4 linked regions of the Saccharomyces cerevisiae S288C genome follow. The main gene of each other region encodes a partner of the protein of the gene in region 3 in a complex. Each region holds a gene or a part of one and is shown on either strand. Other genes may lie near its edges. The genes, in order: SEC9, SEC17, SSO1 and SNC1. A codon is read from its position in the direction of its gene.

Evidence for each region.
Region 1: the proteins of SSO1 (region 3) and SEC9 are in contact, whole or in part, in a cryo-EM structure (PDB 9CRU), measured with the Saccharomyces cerevisiae proteins. Residues at the interface, in NP_015092.1 of Saccharomyces cerevisiae: Glu185 (codon at 2,481), Ala186 (codon at 2,484), Ala189 (codon at 2,493), Leu190 (codon at 2,496), Val193 (codon at 2,505), Gln194 (codon at 2,508), Arg196 (codon at 2,514), His197 (codon at 2,517), Leu200 (codon at 2,526), Leu201 (codon at 2,529), Glu204 (codon at 2,538), Met207 (codon at 2,547), Ala208 (codon at 2,550), Leu210 (codon at 2,556), Thr211 (codon at 2,559), Phe214 (codon at 2,568), Asn215 (codon at 2,571), Met217 (codon at 2,577), Glu218 (codon at 2,580), Val221 (codon at 2,589), Gln224 (codon at 2,598), Gln225 (codon at 2,601), Val228 (codon at 2,610), Asp229 (codon at 2,613), Ile231 (codon at 2,619), Asp232 (codon at 2,622), Val235 (codon at 2,631), Glu236 (codon at 2,634), Ala238 (codon at 2,640), Gln239 (codon at 2,643); in NP_011523.3 of Saccharomyces cerevisiae: Ile433 (codon at 3,260), Thr436 (codon at 3,269), Lys437 (codon at 3,272), Ser439 (codon at 3,278), Ser440 (codon at 3,281), Ala442 (codon at 3,287), Ser443 (codon at 3,290), Thr444 (codon at 3,293), Asn446 (codon at 3,299), Thr447 (codon at 3,302), Met450 (codon at 3,311), Ala451 (codon at 3,314), Ala454 (codon at 3,323), Ala457 (codon at 3,332), Gly458 (codon at 3,335), Asn460 (codon at 3,341), Thr461 (codon at 3,344), Met464 (codon at 3,353), Leu465 (codon at 3,356), His467 (codon at 3,362), Gln468 (codon at 3,365), Gln471 (codon at 3,374), Leu472 (codon at 3,377), Asn474 (codon at 3,383), Val475 (codon at 3,386), Asn478 (codon at 3,395), Leu479 (codon at 3,398), Leu481 (codon at 3,404), Met482 (codon at 3,407), Gln485 (codon at 3,416).
Region 2: the proteins of SSO1 (region 3) and SEC17 are in contact, whole or in part, in a cryo-EM structure (PDB 9CRU), measured with the Saccharomyces cerevisiae proteins. Residues at the interface, in NP_015092.1 of Saccharomyces cerevisiae: Leu201 (codon at 2,529), Glu204 (codon at 2,538), Lys205 (codon at 2,541), Ala208 (codon at 2,550), Thr211 (codon at 2,559), Asn215 (codon at 2,571), Glu218 (codon at 2,580), Glu219 (codon at 2,583), Ile222 (codon at 2,592), Glu223 (codon at 2,595), Glu226 (codon at 2,604), Val230 (codon at 2,616), Asn234 (codon at 2,628); in NP_009503.1 of Saccharomyces cerevisiae: Arg114 (codon at 3,045), Ser153 (codon at 3,162), Ala155 (codon at 3,168), Leu156 (codon at 3,171), Lys159 (codon at 3,180), Leu193 (codon at 3,282), Trp196 (codon at 3,291), Ser197 (codon at 3,294), Arg236 (codon at 3,411), Asn265 (codon at 3,498), Phe266 (codon at 3,501), Met267 (codon at 3,504).
Region 4: the proteins of SSO1 (region 3) and SNC1 are in contact, whole or in part, in a crystal structure (PDB 3B5N), measured with the Saccharomyces cerevisiae proteins. Residues at the interface, in NP_015092.1 of Saccharomyces cerevisiae: Glu199 (codon at 2,523), Leu200 (codon at 2,526), Lys202 (codon at 2,532), Leu203 (codon at 2,535), Ser206 (codon at 2,544), Met207 (codon at 2,547), Glu209 (codon at 2,553), Leu210 (codon at 2,556), Leu213 (codon at 2,565), Phe214 (codon at 2,568), Asp216 (codon at 2,574), Met217 (codon at 2,577), Leu220 (codon at 2,586), Val221 (codon at 2,589), Gln224 (codon at 2,598), Asn227 (codon at 2,607), Val228 (codon at 2,610), Val230 (codon at 2,616), Ile231 (codon at 2,619), Asn234 (codon at 2,628), Val235 (codon at 2,631), Ala238 (codon at 2,640), Asp241 (codon at 2,649), Val242 (codon at 2,652), Gln244 (codon at 2,658), Gly245 (codon at 2,661), Val246 (codon at 2,664), His248 (codon at 2,670), Thr249 (codon at 2,673), Lys251 (codon at 2,679); in NP_009372.1 of Saccharomyces cerevisiae: Thr29 (codon at 1,440), Leu32 (codon at 1,431), Gln33 (codon at 1,428), Ile36 (codon at 1,306), Asp37 (codon at 1,303), Thr39 (codon at 1,297), Val40 (codon at 1,294), Met43 (codon at 1,285), Arg44 (codon at 1,282), Asn46 (codon at 1,276), Ile47 (codon at 1,273), Val50 (codon at 1,264), Arg53 (codon at 1,255), Gly54 (codon at 1,252), Leu57 (codon at 1,243), Thr58 (codon at 1,240), Ile60 (codon at 1,234), Glu61 (codon at 1,231), Ala64 (codon at 1,222), Asp65 (codon at 1,219), Leu67 (codon at 1,213), Ala68 (codon at 1,210), Ala71 (codon at 1,201), Gln72 (codon at 1,198), Phe74 (codon at 1,192), Lys75 (codon at 1,189), Ala78 (codon at 1,180), Asn79 (codon at 1,177), Val81 (codon at 1,171), Arg82 (codon at 1,168).

Annotation. Positions count from the first base shown.
Region 1 is NC_001139.9:507,641-512,965, reverse strand, and holds SEC9 (Sec9p), read left to right. Parts: upstream 1-1,963; coding exon 1,964-3,919; downstream 3,920-5,325. Other genes in the region: nicotinamide-nucleotide adenylyltransferase NMA2, read right to left, coding at 234-1,421; STF2 (ATPase-stabilizing factor family protein), read left to right, coding at 4,602-4,856; ECT1 (ethanolamine-phosphate cytidylyltransferase), read right to left, coding at 5,026-5,325. UniProt on the Saccharomyces cerevisiae protein: Component of a SNARE complex that may be the effector of SEC4 function in exocytosis.
Region 2 is NC_001134.8:122,536-126,761, forward strand, and holds SEC17 (alpha-soluble NSF attachment protein SEC17), read left to right. Parts: upstream 1-2,589; coding exon 2,590-2,619; intron 2,620-2,735; coding exon 2,736-3,584; downstream 3,585-4,226. Other genes in the region: PIN4 (Pin4p), read right to left, coding at 218-2,224. UniProt on the Saccharomyces cerevisiae protein: SNARE complex protein that binds to cis-SNARE complexes on membranes and is required for vesicular transport between the endoplasmic reticulum and the Golgi apparatus and for homotypic vacuole fusion.
Region 3 is NC_001148.4:105,347-109,553, forward strand, and holds SSO1 (syntaxin), read left to right. Parts: upstream 1-1,928; coding exon 1,929-2,801; downstream 2,802-4,207. Other genes in the region: VMA11 (H(+)-transporting V0 sector ATPase subunit c'), read right to left, coding at 1-94; MIND complex subunit NSL1, read left to right, coding at 826-1,476; trifunctional fatty acid synthase subunit FAS2, read left to right, coding at 3,306-4,207. UniProt on the Saccharomyces cerevisiae protein: Required for vesicle fusion with the plasma membrane.
Region 4 is NC_001133.9:85,297-88,809, reverse strand, and holds SNC1 (SNAP receptor SNC1), read right to left. Parts: upstream 1,525-3,513; coding exon 1,423-1,524; intron 1,310-1,422; coding exon 1,058-1,309; downstream 1-1,057. Other genes in the region: MYO4 (myosin 4), read left to right, coding at 1-955; protein phosphatase regulator GIP4, read left to right, coding at 1,779-3,513. UniProt on the Saccharomyces cerevisiae protein: SNC1 and SNC2 are vesicle-targeting proteins essential for normal secretory traffic between the Golgi and the plasma membrane. They may also be involved in vesicle fusion.

The sequences.
Region 1 (5,325 bases), on a different chromosome or scaffold from region 3:
TTTACGTATACGATTCACTGGAATGTTTGTCTGAAAGGTTTTCCTTATGAAACTTACCGCTGGTGTGGTTATATTATAATTATTAAGTGTTAAAATAAATGTTTGACATTGTTCACATGATTGTTGCTCTGCTGTAAACATTTTAAATCGTGCATCCAGGAACTTTTTTTCTATGCACCTTGAAGAGGAAAGTGGTAAATTTGAACTGCTGCAGTATCAGAGTTGTAATAAACTCACTCTTTGCTATCCAAGACCTGCTTGACCGGTTCACTTTGATTAATGTATAGATTATACTCTTGGATGTAACGGATGACAGAGTTTGGAAGAAGATATTGAACTGACATTCCACGTCTGATGAAAAGCCGCACTTTCGTAGAGGAAATATCATTGTAAATAAGTTGTTTGATAATAAGGATATTTCTTCTGTGTTCATACATGATATCATGGGAAAGCAAGAAGGACCTAACATCAGAACCAGTCCTTTCCACGATCAAACATCCATAATTACCCAAAATATGGTGCAGGTCTGAATCAGCCCACACATGAGGCTCGCCCATGGATTCGATAAGATCACCGCCTGCCAATAACATGATTTTTACGCCCATTTTTTCACCATCTACAGTCATGATTCCACCTCTCTTGATATTTATTTCATGATTGAAATGGTCCAAGACTTTTGCTGTCCTTGTATAACTTGATTGTAAAGATTCCCAGGCATCAACCATTAACCAAGATGATGTCCGCTCGCATGCTAATTCGCACATGCGGACACGATGATAAGCTGGGGCTAACCCTCGCTTTTGATAGTTATCACTTACTGGAGAAAAATAACCACCAACCACTTCAAAACGCGTTTGCTCATTGATATCATCTAAAGCCATTTCAAACATTCTCAAATGTAGGTATGTTATGGGAGAAAATGATCCACAAGCAACGATGATCAGAGGCAGTTTTTCAGGATCTTGTAACTTTTTCGTCAATCTGTGTACAGGAAATTCGTAATCTTCAATAGTTCTGGCTTGTCTTACAATTGTGTGAGGAACTTCTTCCAAATCAGCAATTTGGCTCTTCAGTACCCCCAAATTCCCAGTCATCGTAACATCCTGTAGAGTAGCGTCAATTCCATTCGATTGCCCTTCACTTTCCTCCTCCGATGATACATCCCGAGATAGTGGCTGGAAGTCACTAGTATTTAATGGAATATGGTCCATTCGGTTGCTTGAGTTGGCGTTTTTTTTCCTTGACGACAGGGTTTTGTAAATGTCGAGATTGAAAGGAGCATCGATCGAAGAATTATAATCAGCTAAAACATATGGAACTATGGGTCCAGATTTTGGTATCGTATGTGTTGGATCTGGCGGTGGTTGTAGTTCTTCATTTGGCTGTGGCGGTTTAAAATCGGGTGCTTTGGTGGGATCCATTACGTAATAAGTGCACTTTTTCTTGCCTTCTCCACTTTAAACTCTCTCTCTCTCTCTACTTAACAGTGGAGGAACAGTGACTAAGGTAGAGTATGATTGTACTATAACTTACAGTCTACTGTCGTCACGCTGGGTCAATTTACATTGTTATTTTTCTTGGAGACGACACCGTCACATATGGACAGCGAGTATGGTAGATGGTATAAGCAAAAAATGGCCAGAAACAGGCGATTATTTGGTAAAACGTAAAGATTGATCAAGACGATAAGTTTGAGAGATTGTGAAGCTAAATAAAATCGTATTGCGAGTATTTTACATTCCATATACGAATAGTACGATATCCATGTGGGGTGCGACTCAGAGACTTTCTATTACCCGTCTTTCAAAAAGAAATGAGATACGTTGATCCTGCTTTTAACAATTTCGAATCGTTTGCGTAATTATATGACTTGCTCCGGTGTATAAATAAATAAAGTACATTCTTGGTACTCCTGAACCTAGCCTGGAGTAACTCGGAATAATACACCATTGACACCAAAAGAATGGGATTAAAGAAATTTTTTAAGATTAAGCCTCCAGAGGAAGCGACACCAGAACAGAACAAGGATACTTTGATGGAACTGGGTATTAGTGTCAAAAACCCTAGCAAGAAAAGAAAAGAGAAATTTGCCGCCTACGGTAAATTTGCAAATGATAAAGCTGAAGATAAGGTATACGCGCCACCAGGTTATGAGCAGTATGCTAGGCCACAGGATGAACTTGAGGATTTGAATGCTTCTCCCTTAGATGCCAATGCTAACGAGGCAACTGCTGGTTCTAATAGAGGTTCAAGTGGCACGCAAGATCTCGGAAATGGAGCAGAATCCAATTCTATGCAAGATCCGTACGCTATCGAAAATGATGATTACCGATATGATGACGATCCTTATGCAAGGTTTCAAGCTAATAAAAGTAATGGGAGAGGTAGCGTCAATGCTGCGCCTTATGGTGATTATGGAGGGGGGTACAATGGCACATCTCTGAATTCATATAATAACGATGGCCCGTATAGTAACCAAAATACTTCAAACAGCTGGGTGAATGCGAATGGCCGTAATAGTTTAAATCATTCAAACAGCACTTTAAACGTAGGGCCTTCGAGGCAAACAAGGCAACCGCCGGTTTCAACGTCGACCAACAGCTTATCGCTTGACCAAAGAAGTCCCTTAGCAAACCCGATGCAAGAAAAGAGAAATCCTTACGCTGATATGAATAGTTATGGCGGGGCGTATGACTCCAATACTAATAGATCTAGCGGTACTCGACAAGGAAGCTCCAAGAATGCAAATCCATACGCCTCTATGGCGAACGACTCATATAGTAATGGAAATTTGAACAGGTCTGCAAATCCATATTCTAGTAGAAGTGTGCGTCAACCGCAATCGCAACAAGCTCCAATGACTTATACGCCCTCTTTTATTGCTTCTGATGAAGCAGCACGCAATAGTGAAGTTGATTTAAATGAAGAACCTAGAACAGGTGAATTTGATTTTGAAGAAGTTTATGCTGACAAGTCTGCAGAAAATAGAGCGGCATTAGATGAGCCTGATTTGAATGCAGTAATGACGAATGAAGATTCAATAGATTTAAATGCGTCCGAAGTTGATCATAGTTCAAGACAGCAGCAGCAGCAACAGTGGTTCATGGATGAGCAGCAACAGCAACAGCAACACTTTAACGCAACAAATAACCAATATGGAGATCAAAGGGGTTACAAAACATTTGAAGAAATACAAAAAGAAGAGGAGGCTCGCCAGCAGCAGGAAGAAGATGAAGCAGTAGATGAAATCAAGCAGGAGATCAAATTTACGAAACAGAGTTCCGTAGCCTCTACTAGAAATACACTAAAAATGGCTCAAGACGCCGAAAGAGCAGGTATGAACACATTGGGTATGCTGGGTCATCAAAGTGAACAATTGAATAACGTAGAAGGAAACTTAGATTTAATGAAGGTGCAAAATAAAGTTGCAGATGAAAAAGTTGCAGAACTAAAAAAATTGAACCGTAGTATATTGGCTGTCCATGTTTCTAATCCGTTTAATTCCAAGAGAAGGAGAAGGGAGAGGGAAGAGCAGCTGAAGAATAGGAAAATTGAAGAAAAATTAATGAGAGAGCAAACAAGTCAACAATTGTCTCAGTCCACTCAAAGAATAGAGGGTGCTATGAACGCAAATAATAACATAAGTGAGGTGCGGGAAAGATATCAGAGGAAGAATGTTCTAGAAAAGGCAAAGAGATATCAGTTTGAGAATGATGAAGAAGATGACGAAATGGAATTGGAAATTGATAGGAATTTGGACCAGATTCAGCAGGTTAGCAACAGATTGAAGAAAATGGCCTTGACCACTGGTAAAGAATTAGACTCTCAGCAAAAACGTCTCAACAACATTGAGGAAAGCACTGATGATCTAGATATCAATCTCCATATGAATACCAACAGGTTGGCAGGTATCAGATAGAATATGCCTGTAAAAACTATGTAATATATCACAAGTAACAACATTTCATCACCATTACTACCATTATGTAGAAATTTATGAGCAAAGACAAATAAGTAAAGAAAAAGACATTGATATAATATAAGAGTATGCTTTCTTCATTTTAATGTTTGGTTGTGAATTGAAAGAATACCATTCGGGCACGCAATAGTTATGAACTTAACCGAGCTCAAATAATTTAAAGATAAAAGATAAAAGATAAAAGATAAAAGACAAAAGAAAATTCATAGCCCATGTTGAAGTATCCCAGCGGGAAATGTTGCTATCCAACAGAAAGTACCAAGCCAGTTTCAAAAAGGTACAGAATTAAGTGATGCTATCCGTCCCACAACTAATTTTCTCCAGCGGAGGAAATATACGCGGAGGGGGGGAGGAAAACCTCTCAGTAAGCAATGAAGGGATAGATAATGGGGGCGCGCCTGCCTAGCTTAGGCTAAGAAACTCCTTCGAAAACAGGGGGCTGCGAGCGCAGAAGCGAACACTTGTCATTTGTATAAAAGGACTATTTATAAGTTTGCTTTTTGTCACTCTCTTGGCCCTAATTACCCATACTATTGTAACAATTGTTGTGTAAACTCAATTATACAAATAAACGAACAATCAACAGTAACAAACCGCTCAAGTGTACAACCAATCAGAAAAAATGACGAGAACAAACAAGTGGACCGAACGTGAAGGAAAGGCTGATCCAAAGTACTTTTCGCACACTGGTAACTACGGTGAATCTCCAAATCACATCAAGAAGCAAGGTTCCGGCAAGGGTAATTGGGGTAAGCCAGGCGATGAGATTGATGACTTAATTGATAATGGTGAAATACCCCCAGTGTTCAAGAAAGATAGAAGAGGCTCAAATTTGCAATCGCATGAACAAAAGTTTGAAAACGTCCAAAAGGAATGAGGGCGTTTTCAAGATAAAAAAAGGTTTTTTGATCTCTGAAGGATAGTGGCCTTCTCCACTGATTTATATGCATCTATAGGTATATACTTGCATGCCTACTTCATGACTTATGTAATACAGTTTTCTTACATCCATTTAATTTACGTTCGAAGAAGTTTTCAACATTTGTTTATATGGACATTCCCTTTTTTTGGTTCCTCGCAATGTAAACCTCCCTTTGCGATTCCACCCTCTTCACAATAAGCTCTTTAGTCAAGTATTCACTGAATTTTCCGGCAGCAGTGAGGACAGCCGTGCCAATATGATACTTCTCGCAGTTATACTGAGACATTGAGGTGGCGTCAGCATCGATAATAACGGCATCAACATATTTACAACTTAAAACGCTCAAGACGCGTTCCTTCATCGTCATAATGGTACTCGAGTAATCGCTTGTGGTAATACCAACAATCAATTTCTTATCGGGGTG
Region 2 (4,226 bases), on a different chromosome or scaffold from region 3:
CAGTAAAAATTAACTTCATCATGATCATTAATTTCATATTCATATTCGGTTATTTTTTTTTTTTTTTATATTTTTTTTCAATGGTGTTTTTGATGGTTTTTATTATATATATATATTTTTTTATCTTTTATCTTGTGTAAGCACCCCTCATTACTTGTATCGTGCGATATACAAATACCAAACAAACTCTATAATCATAGAATAATGGAAGTATATATTACCATAGATTCTTCTTGTTTTGGTTTTGTAAATCCAGTCCGCTTAAAGAACGATTCAAGCCCTGTTCCAAGCCATCATCTAGTCCAGAGTGACTCAAAGATTTATAGATCAAGTCGGCACTATTCAAATTGTGTGCGGACAACATGGACTCATCGTGATAAGACTGATATGAGAAATTAGAATGTACTGAGCCATTTGTGTGCTGTGGAAGCAGTTGGGACTGTGAGTTTGCTGAAGATGGGCCGTTAAGGTTGTACAACTGCTGGGAAGACAATGAAGCATTTTGGTATGCCACTGGTACCCGTTGTTGAGTTTGGGACTGTGCTGGTGGTTGCGCTTGGGATAGGGTTTGGCTGTTGATTGGGATTTGTGAATTTGGAGGTGAAATTTGAGAATTTCTCAGTAAGGGATTAACGGAATTGATTTGATAATGGTTGGCAGAATAACCGGATGGAATTCTTGAGGATGGTGTTAAAGTAGCTTGTTGTCTTAAAAAAGATTGTTGTTGTTGCGCAGCTGACTGAACATTTTGCTGTGTTTGTGGTTGAGGTTGTTGCGGTTGGTCTGCGGAATTGTATTGAGAACTATGGTGTATGTTCATTTTAGGTGAGGTTAGTGTTGGTTGCATGGAGAATTGTCCCTGTGAAGAAATTTTTGGTGTTGAGCTGGCGCTATTGTTATTAATGATGACATTGTTACCGTTACCGTTATTACTGTTAATAGTATTGCTGTTGGAAGAATTGTTAACGGCCTGATTGCTAATACTATTCGCTGCAGCTGCTGCATGGGCCTGTAACAAACTTGTATAAGATTGTGACCTATTCATGGAGCCGCCAGTGGAGTTTGGCTGCAAAGGATGAGCAGATGTCATTTGACCTTGTTGTTGCAAATGAGATTGTAAATTAGCATGATCCAGAATCTTTCTTCTGATAATAATAAATCTTGGATCATATACTTCTACTAGCCCTAAGTACGAGCACAAAACATTGATAATTCTCTTGTGGGAAGCGGATATACCCATGGGATAAGCCAACTCGTAATAATACTTTTCTCTATCCTTAAATAACAATAATTGGGAATAAATTTCCAAAGTGTCAGGGTCATTGAAGTCCAGTTGTTGGGGTGGGAGAGGCAAAGTGGAAGTTGATGGTAAAGGCGCATAAAATCTCTCAGTGGACATCTGGGCTTGATTATTAACGTTTGTTTGGTACAACGATGAAGAAGTATGTTGGGCAGAAAGTGAAGGTTGGTTCAGAATGATGTTACCACTATTGTTGTTATTAGAACTGTTATTGTTAATGGTATTATTCATTGGACTGTTCATCATGCTATTAGCATTAATGCCGTTCATTAGAGTCGAGAATAATTGATTGTTAGAAGTATTATTGTTTCCGCTTCCACTCATTTTAGATAAAGAATCCAAAGAAAGATTAGATGACGATCTGTGTTGTTCTTCTAATTGTCCTCTTTTCTCTCTCTTCTCCCTCTCGATTCTTTCTCTTTCAGCTTGGGGAAGCATTTTTTTATATTCCACTTTCAATTTCCTCCCGCTGATTTCCTTTCCATTCAAAGAAGTTATCACTTGAGTAGTTTCTTCAGGAGTGGTGAAATTCGCAAAGGCTAGTCCTCTGAAAATACCGTTATCAAAGTGGTAATTGAAGGCATAAGGAAGGGGAAGATCCATTTCTTCAATAATGTCTAACAATTGCTCTTTTTTAATAGCAAACGGAATGTTTTTAATAACAATAGCATTTGGGATAACATCATCGTCCAAAGCACCATTGGTGGGGGCATTATTCAAATTTGTAGAAGAAACGTTTTGTTCGGCATTTTTTGCAGAGTTCTCACCAGTTTCCGTTTGCACACCGTTTTCTTTGTCAATTGCATCTCTAGTTTCGATAGATTGCTGATTTGTTTCCTGGTCATTAGTCTCCGTATTTATATTATTATCCTGAGCATCATTGATGGCTGCAGGAGGAGCATTCTCAAAAGAACTGGTCTCCATTTCTTATTGTTGTTGAACACGCTTTCCCTAGTCTGTAGCCTGCCTCTATGAGTACTATATCACACTTCTTCTTGCGCTAATCTCCAAAGACCTGCTGGTAATCTCAGCTGAAAGGCTGCCTTTAATTGTTATTCTTTTCCAGGAAAAAATCGCAAAGTTGCAGCATCCGTGTTTCGTGACATCATTGAAGGTTACCCTAATCTATTACCTCGGATTAACTTGAATTAATAAGGACACACAGGTATAGGGAAGGTAAAGTTGAAGTAATGATAAGAAGTGGGCAGCACCGAAGCAGTTTATCTGAACTAACTTCTGTACGACTCGAGAATATAGTAAGAACACCATCATTAACCTGAAAGTTAAAAATGTCAGACCCTGTAGAGTTATTGAAAAGAGTATGTAGTAGGGAAATATATCAAAGGAACAAAATGAAAGCTATGTGATTCCGTAATTTACGAAGGCAAATTACTAACATTGAAATACGGGAATTGATATTTCCCGTTGTGTTAAGGCTGAGAAGAAGGGTGTTCCTTCATCGGGTTTCATGAAATTGTTTAGCGGTTCTGATTCATACAAGTTTGAGGAGGCTGCTGATCTTTGTGTCCAAGCAGCCACCATTTACCGTCTAAGAAAAGAGTTAAACTTGGCAGGAGACTCGTTTTTGAAAGCTGCTGACTATCAGAAAAAGGCTGGTAATGAAGACGAAGCAGGAAATACCTACGTAGAGGCTTATAAATGCTTTAAAAGCGGTGGAAACTCTGTGAACGCCGTGGATTCATTAGAAAATGCTATTCAAATTTTTACTCATAGGGGGCAGTTCCGGAGAGGTGCTAATTTCAAGTTTGAGCTTGGAGAAATTCTAGAAAATGATTTGCATGACTATGCAAAAGCTATAGATTGCTATGAGCTCGCTGGTGAGTGGTATGCCCAAGACCAGTCGGTAGCATTATCGAATAAGTGTTTTATCAAATGCGCAGATCTAAAGGCTCTTGACGGTCAATATATTGAAGCAAGTGATATATATTCGAAGTTGATCAAGAGCAGCATGGGCAATAGATTGAGCCAATGGAGTTTGAAGGATTACTTCCTAAAAAAAGGGCTTTGTCAGCTAGCTGCTACTGATGCAGTCGCTGCTGCAAGAACTTTACAAGAGGGTCAAAGTGAAGATCCGAATTTTGCGGATTCAAGGGAGTCAAATTTCTTGAAAAGTTTAATCGATGCTGTTAATGAAGGTGATAGCGAGCAGCTAAGCGAACACTGTAAGGAGTTTGACAATTTTATGAGACTAGATAAATGGAAAATTACCATTTTGAATAAAATTAAGGAGTCCATCCAGCAACAAGAAGATGATTTGTTATGAACGGCATATACTTACGCGCACATACATATATACATATATATTATAAATGTAACACTTGTTTTACCCGAAACGGCGAAGTAATTGTGTACCGCCGTGCACCTTTTCCTCGAGATAAACATATAGCGATGACTTAGAGAACAAAGTAGTATTAGTATCATATACTTCCAACGTTAATCAAGCGCAATAAACCTTTGTTCGTGTGTTTCAAAGTTATTGCAAGAGCGAAGTTGAAGCCATCTTTTCACGAGAAGTTAGCTGTGGTTCGAGTCTGTCGCACGCCGTGTAATGTAAGGATCTTCCCTTAGCTTTTCTGATCCGGAGCCCTTGAGGGATATTACGCATCGCGTATCTTCATACGATTACTGTACTTTGCTGACTTGCATTCTTGATATTGGGCTATAGTTGGCACTTCGCTCGTTTCTTTTCTTTCGTTATATAACGTAACCTTTTTTTTTTTAACTTCCTTATCCTGCCCCTTATCACTCTGAACCCCATAGATAAACAAAGACAGAACTCTGTCCTACTTTATCTATTACTAAACTCAACACATTACAGCCCAATATTATAAATACGTTCTTCTTCGTTACAAGAATAGGCGAGGTTGTACGAACTGCAAACTAGCTGCAAATTAATTGTAACACT
Region 3 (4,207 bases):
AACAGGAAAGCACCATGGCAGCTGCACAACCTGCGAACCCGAAAAAGGGAGCGTACAATGGAGCATATATGTTACTTGCGAGTTGCGTTGACATGTTTACAGAGAATAATAGAATGGACCCTTTCCTCCTCCGACTCTTGCTTTGCTATATTTATTTTTTTTTTTCTTACGAGTAAAGAAGAAAATATTAGGTTATCTATGTTCCTTTTTCTAACTAATCACTCTTTCACTAAAGAATATTTCTTAGCAAAAATATGCGTACCTGCGTACCGGGTAAAAAGTCGCATTGTCCAAGTGCTGCTGCTTTTACGCAAAAGAACACATCTAACCGAAGAGGAATAAGCAGACCTGAACAATACCAAATAAAGAAGTTACTTCTTCTTTATCACCATTTTGACAGGTTTCTACATTTTTTTTTCCGTAGAGGGAAAACATATAAAAGCAGTCCAGTAATTGCTTGCTTTTTGAAATGGCTCTTTAAGCCTGAAAGCACAAGACGATTAGTGATATAGATAATATATACACAGATACACATGTACGTACATAAGTACTGATTTAGGCTGCAACCTTTTACCTGGCTCAACTGACACGAATATTTTGTTATCAGCCAAAATAAACGTTCATGATATATAGTGAGAAAAAAAGATCGATGGGACGACTCGCGGCCATTCCTTGTGCGTGCAGGAATCAAGAAAATAAACAAACCGGTACAGTACAATAAGCAGGCTGAGTAGGCGGAAAAAGTTTTATTCAGACGTGTACCGGAGCCTAAATCCTTTCTTACCCATAGCAACCACACTAAATATATTATTGTAACACGAGAAGATGTCACAAGGTCAGTCCAAAAAACTGGACGTAACTGTTGAGCAGCTTCGAAGTATATACCACCAGTTTCATGATATCTTGGAAGAAAAAACTGATTTGCATCTACCGAAGAAAGAATACGACGATGACGCTGTTAGGAGAGAGGTTCAGATACAGTTACAAGAATTTCTTTTGAGCGCTATGACGATGGCTTCGAAGTCACTAGAAGTTGTCAACGCCGACACGGTAGGAAAGACGGTAAAGCAATTGATCATGGAATCACAAGAGAAGTACATGGAGCCCTTTGACCTTGACCTGAATGAGCAAGTTAGAAAGATGTACCAAGAGTGGGAAGACGAAACCGTTAAGGTGGCCCAGTTGAGGCAAACGGGGCCTGCAAAAATCAACGAAGTTTACAACAACTCAAAGGATGAGTATTTGGCACAATTGGATGGGAGAATCGGCGTTCTTCAAGCTAGAATGATGCAGCAACAATCTGCTGACCATGATGATAGTACCGACGATGCCGATGATCACATCAACTGGGAGCACATCAAGCAGGATTACGTTGCCTCACTCAATGAATTGTATCAAACACAGCAAGACCTACCCAAGGTAAGATATAACGTTGAAAAGGTCAAGCGCTTAATGGACTTCCTGGAGGAGGATTGAATAAATAACATATAAGACAGTCAACCTCGTGGTAAATGATAACTATATTCTGGGGCTTTATTCATTTTTTTACACTTTTTTATCTTTGTACGAAGAGCTGAAAATAAAAAAGTATAGAGCCAGCCTTTTCCCACACACTAACGACAAAAGACGATATGCAGGCTGTGCGCATGGGGGAGAATCCAGTTTTTGCCCGTTAAAGAGAAAAAATTAGTGTCTGTGAAACGCGAATACAAAAAAAGAAAAGTAGCAGGATCTTACTTCTCGTAAAGACGTCAAGAACCAAATCAAGTCAAATCGTGGAAGTTACAAGGGGAAAGACCAATAACTTTTAGTAAAGAACAAAGAAAGGTCTATCTCACGCAGTGACGGTCTTTGCGGTAAATCTGTGTATACTTGAAAGAAAACCCTTTTACAATTAAAAAAGGCAATTAAAAATAGAAACAAATCAAATGAGTTATAATAATCCGTACCAGTTGGAAACCCCTTTTGAAGAGTCATACGAGTTGGACGAAGGTTCGAGCGCTATCGGTGCTGAAGGCCACGATTTCGTGGGCTTCATGAATAAGATCAGTCAAATCAATCGCGATCTCGATAAGTACGACCATACCATCAACCAGGTCGATTCTTTGCATAAGAGGCTACTGACCGAAGTTAATGAGGAGCAAGCAAGTCACTTAAGGCACTCCCTGGACAACTTCGTCGCACAAGCCACGGACTTGCAGTTCAAACTGAAAAATGAGATTAAAAGTGCCCAAAGGGATGGGATACATGACACCAACAAGCAAGCTCAGGCGGAAAACTCCAGACAAAGATTTTTGAAGCTTATCCAGGACTACAGAATTGTGGATTCCAACTACAAGGAGGAGAATAAAGAGCAAGCCAAGAGGCAGTATATGATCATTCAACCAGAGGCCACCGAAGATGAAGTTGAAGCAGCCATAAGCGATGTAGGGGGCCAGCAGATCTTCTCACAAGCATTGTTGAATGCTAACAGACGTGGGGAAGCCAAGACTGCTCTTGCGGAAGTCCAGGCAAGGCACCAAGAGTTATTGAAACTAGAAAAATCCATGGCAGAACTTACTCAATTGTTTAATGACATGGAAGAACTGGTAATAGAACAACAAGAAAACGTAGACGTCATCGACAAGAACGTTGAAGACGCTCAACTCGACGTAGAACAGGGTGTCGGTCATACCGATAAAGCCGTCAAGAGTGCCAGAAAAGCAAGAAAGAACAAGATTAGATGTTGGTTGATTGTATTCGCCATCATTGTAGTCGTTGTTGTTGTCGTTGTTGTCCCAGCCGTTGTCAAAACGCGTTAATTCCAACTATTTTCTATATTTCTATTCTATCCGAACTCCCCTTTTGTATATCAATATATCTTAATACTTTCGCCTATTCTTTACTATATTTCCTAAATTTTCTCTGGTCTGCAGGCCAAAAACAACAACTTACTACTGAATCATGGACGTGTATTTAGTTTAGCCAAGCAATATTTAAATATCACTCTTCCTAAAAATACATTGGGCATTACCCGCAAACTAACCCATCGCTTAGCAAAATCCAACCATTTTTTTTTTATCTCCCGCGTTTTCACATGCTACCTCATTCGCCTCGTAACGTTACGACCGAAATCTCACTAAGGCACGGTTTGTTGGGCAGTTTACAGATGTTGGATAACCAGTTGTTTCTAAACGGTTATGCCTCATATATAACTTGTTAACTGAAGGTTACACAAGACCACATCACCACTGTCGTGCTTTTCTAATAACCGCTATATTAGACGTTTAAAGGGCTACAGCAACACCAATTGAAATACCATCATTATGAAGCCGGAAGTTGAGCAAGAATTAGCTCATATTTTGCTAACTGAATTGTTAGCTTATCAATTTGCCTCTCCTGTGAGATGGATTGAAACTCAAGATGTTTTTTTGAAGGATTTTAACACTGAAAGGGTTGTTGAAATCGGTCCTTCTCCAACTTTGGCTGGGATGGCTCAAAGAACCTTGAAGAATAAATACGAATCTTACGATGCTGCTCTGTCTTTACATAGAGAAATCTTATGCTATTCGAAGGATGCCAAAGAGATTTATTATACCCCAGATCCATCCGAACTAGCTGCAAAGGAAGAGCCCGCTAAGGAAGAAGCTCCTGCTCCAACTCCAGCTGCTAGTGCTCCTGCTCCTGCAGCAGCAGCCCCAGCTCCCGTCGCGGCAGCAGCCCCAGCTGCAGCAGCTGCTGAGATTGCCGATGAACCTGTCAAGGCTTCCCTATTGTTGCACGTTTTGGTTGCTCACAAGTTGAAGAAGTCGTTAGATTCCATTCCAATGTCCAAGACAATCAAAGACTTGGTCGGTGGTAAATCTACAGTCCAAAATGAAATTTTGGGTGATTTAGGTAAAGAATTTGGTACTACTCCTGAAAAACCAGAAGAAACTCCATTAGAAGAATTGGCAGAAACTTTCCAAGATACCTTCTCTGGAGCATTGGGTAAGCAATCTTCCTCGTTATTATCAAGATTAATCTCATCTAAGATGCCTGGTGGGTTTACTATTACTGTCGCTAGAAAATACTTACAAACTCGCTGGGGACTACCATCTGGTAGACAAGATGGTGTCCTTTTGGTAGCTTTATCTAACGAGCCTGCTGCTCGTCTAGGTTCTGAAGCTGATGCCAAGGCTTTCTTGGACTCCATGGCTCAAAAATACGCTTCCATTGTTGGTGTTGA
Region 4 (3,513 bases), on a different chromosome or scaffold from region 3:
GTTATTGATTCAAAGTAGCAAATTCATCTCGAAAGTCCTATTGACTGTAGAAAGCATTGTTATGAGTCTACCAAAGGACGAAACAATGCTTGGTGGTATCTTTTGGTTAAGTAATCTTTCCAGACTTCCCGCATTTGCTGCAAATCAAAAAACATTATATGAAGCGAATGGTGGTGATGAAAAAGATAAGTTAACACTGATATATTTGAATGATTTGGAGAATGAAACTTTAAAAGTATTCGACAAGATTTATTCCACTTGGTTAGTGAAATTCATGAAGCATGCTTCAGCCCACATCGAGATCTTCGATATGGTTTTAAACGAGAAGCTATTTAAAAATTCTGGTGATGAGAAGTTCGCTAAATTATTCACATTCTTAAATGAATTTGATGCTGTCTTGTGTAAATTTCAAGTTGTTGACTCAATGCATACAAAAATTTTTAACGACACCCTGAAGTATCTGAACGTAATGCTATTTAATGACCTAATAACCAAATGTCCCGCGTTAAATTGGAAGTATGGGTACGAAGTGGATAGAAATATCGAGCGGTTGGTGAGCTGGTTTGAACCAAGAATTGAAGACGTTCGTCCCAATTTGATTCAAATAATTCAGGCTGTCAAGATATTACAGTTGAAGATAAGCAACTTGAACGAGTTCAAGTTACTATTCGATTTCTGGTATGCCTTGAATCCAGCCCAAATACAAGCAATTCTGTTGAAATACAAGCCTGCTAACAAGGGCGAAGCTGGAGTACCGAACGAAATCTTGAATTATTTAGCTAACGTGATCAAAAGAGAAAATCTGTCTTTGCCAGGGAAGATGGAAATTATGCTTTCTGCCCAATTTGACTCTGCTAAAAACCATCTGCGTTATGACACTAGTGCAATAACACAGAACAGCAATACAGAGGGCTTAGCTACTGTCAGTAAAATTATAAAATTAGACAGAAAATAAGAACAAAGTAAATATACGCCCATATATGTATATATGTATATATACATATATCCTACACTACATATGGAAGCTCCCTATATATATAGCATTGCGAGTGAACTTCTATCGACTAAAGTGAACAGCAATGGGGACGATGATTACAACAAGCAATATGATGATTACTAAAGCCAGACACATCTTCATTTTTAGATCCTTGTACCACATGGCTTTTCTGACCCTATTGGCACCCCTCTTAAAGCCTTGGGCTGAGACCGCTAGGTTATCGGCTTTATCTTCAATGGACGTTAATCTTTCACCTCTTTCTGCTACTTTATTTATGTTATCTCTCATTATTCCCACGGTATCATCAATTTCCTAAAAATAAACACGAAGAACGTATATGAATGTATACGCATAAGTATCAACGATGTAGAAAGTTAGTATAATGTTAATTTCCTAGATGGTACTCTGTGGCTTTCTGTACTTACAGCTTGTAGTTCCGCAGTCCTTGACTTAGACTGTACATTCTGGGGTCGTTCTTCATCGTGCTCGGATAGAGCATAAGGGTCAAAGGGAGTAGATGACGACATGGACAATGAATACGTTGCGCTTGCTATGTCTTTGGCGCAAATTTTCAATGTTTAACTAATACTTTTGACGATCTTTCTTATAGATGCTGTGGGAAAGACCCTTAAAAATGTCTGTTACCCTGCAATCAATGGTTGAAACAGCAGGAAGACGCATAATAAAGGCATATGTTTGAAGTTTGTTAGCGAATGAACAATGATAAAAGGAGTGATTGGAAGCTGAAGGTTGAGGATTTAGACTAGTTTTATATTACAACATGGTAGATGTGCAAAAGAGAAAAAAGTTGCTAGCCAAAGCTGCTGCCAGCGCTTCTATTCCGGCAATCAAAGGTTCTGTTCCGTTGGACTCGTATGATATAAAAATCATTCAATATAAGAACGCTCTTTACAAGCTGAATGAACTGAATAGGCTACTAAACGTTCTGGTACCGCATTTGAAGAAGAAAAGAGACAATGACGAGTCCTACAAAATTATTCCCCTCGTTAATTTCATCTTATCACTTTGTGAGGGTCCTATATTTAATGTAAGCCCCGTATTGGCTAAGAGGTACCATTTGCTCTGTCGATTCCAGCTGATAAAGCTAAGCGAAGTGCAGCAGAGATTATCAACTAATTTTATTGATGTAGAGGGCTGGATGTTTCCCGAGGAGGTACCCCTAGATCACTATAAATCGTGCATATACAATAATTCTCTACAATGGAAGATTTTAAATTCGCTGTCTTGCATTGCTCAAAATGCTATAAAAATTTATAATGCCAAGTTGAGACAGATTTTATTGGAAAGGGATGCGTACAAAGCTCGGTCACTTCCATTTGACACTTCAATAATTGAAGACTTGTTAAATCCAGTTGAAATGACATTGATTCTAGATTTAGCCGTTTTGATTAATGATCCAGTAAGGGATAAGTCCACCCATTCCTTTTACAAATTGCAATGGCAAGTGATGGAGAAACTGAACTCCTGTGTTCATTCGAAAATCTTCCCCATTCTAAGGACATATTACAACCAATTGCAGAAATTTTCGGAAACAAGACCTACTTCACTGTCAAATTTACAGAAGGATCTACCACATTGGGAATGGACTCTACACAGGATATACACTTTCCACTTGCGGGTTTTTTCTGTCTTGTGTGTTATTATCAGTTTCTCTAGGCAAATTTTCCTACCGAATAAACAACATTTCTTGGACATCAAGACAAGATTATCCAGCGAAAACGTGTACCATTACGATTTGATAATTTGTGAGCTGATGGCTTTGCTCTCTCCAGAATGTGATGATGTCACAGCTTTATTCGAACTGCAGGAGAATTTAAAATTTTGGACTCAAACGGCGCGTACCGATAACAATTCCTCAAGAACTCCCATTTTCCACCTTCAACCTGGTTTAGTTGTGGAATTGTTTAATAATCATATCTGCAAGATTATACCGAAATTGAGGTCCATTATGGGATTATTATCCAATTGGATGGATTGCTGGAAATATATTGAGAAAAATTATAAAACCTTCGATGAAACCAATGACTTGCGGGAGAATTTGAAAGAAAAGCTAGAAAGAGATAAGGCTCTGTATTTAGAGGTTAAAAACGCGAAAAGTAAGCTAAAGAAGAAGCCGTCAATAACAAAGCTGCCAGCCTCTTCTTCTCCATCCCCCTCACCCACATCTTCAGCAAGCCCATCAAGACAGGCCTCTTTAGAGAGCATAAGAACAAGGGCAAGGGCGCATTTAGCCTCAAATTCTTCTAGGTCTCCCTCAGTATCGCCTGTAAGGACCACTTTCAACAATAAAAACGCAGAAACGAAGAAAAGCGTGGTGTCTCCGGAGAAAAGAAAACTGATCAACGGCAGAAGGCCTAGATCCTCATCTTTGCAATCCTATACAAACAAACAACAAACCTCATATTTGAATTCTACAAGACATCCGTCAATAGCTCCACCTTCAAAGCTCAACAATCAAAGGTCCAATTCTTTGCAGTCCTCAACCATGACGTTAA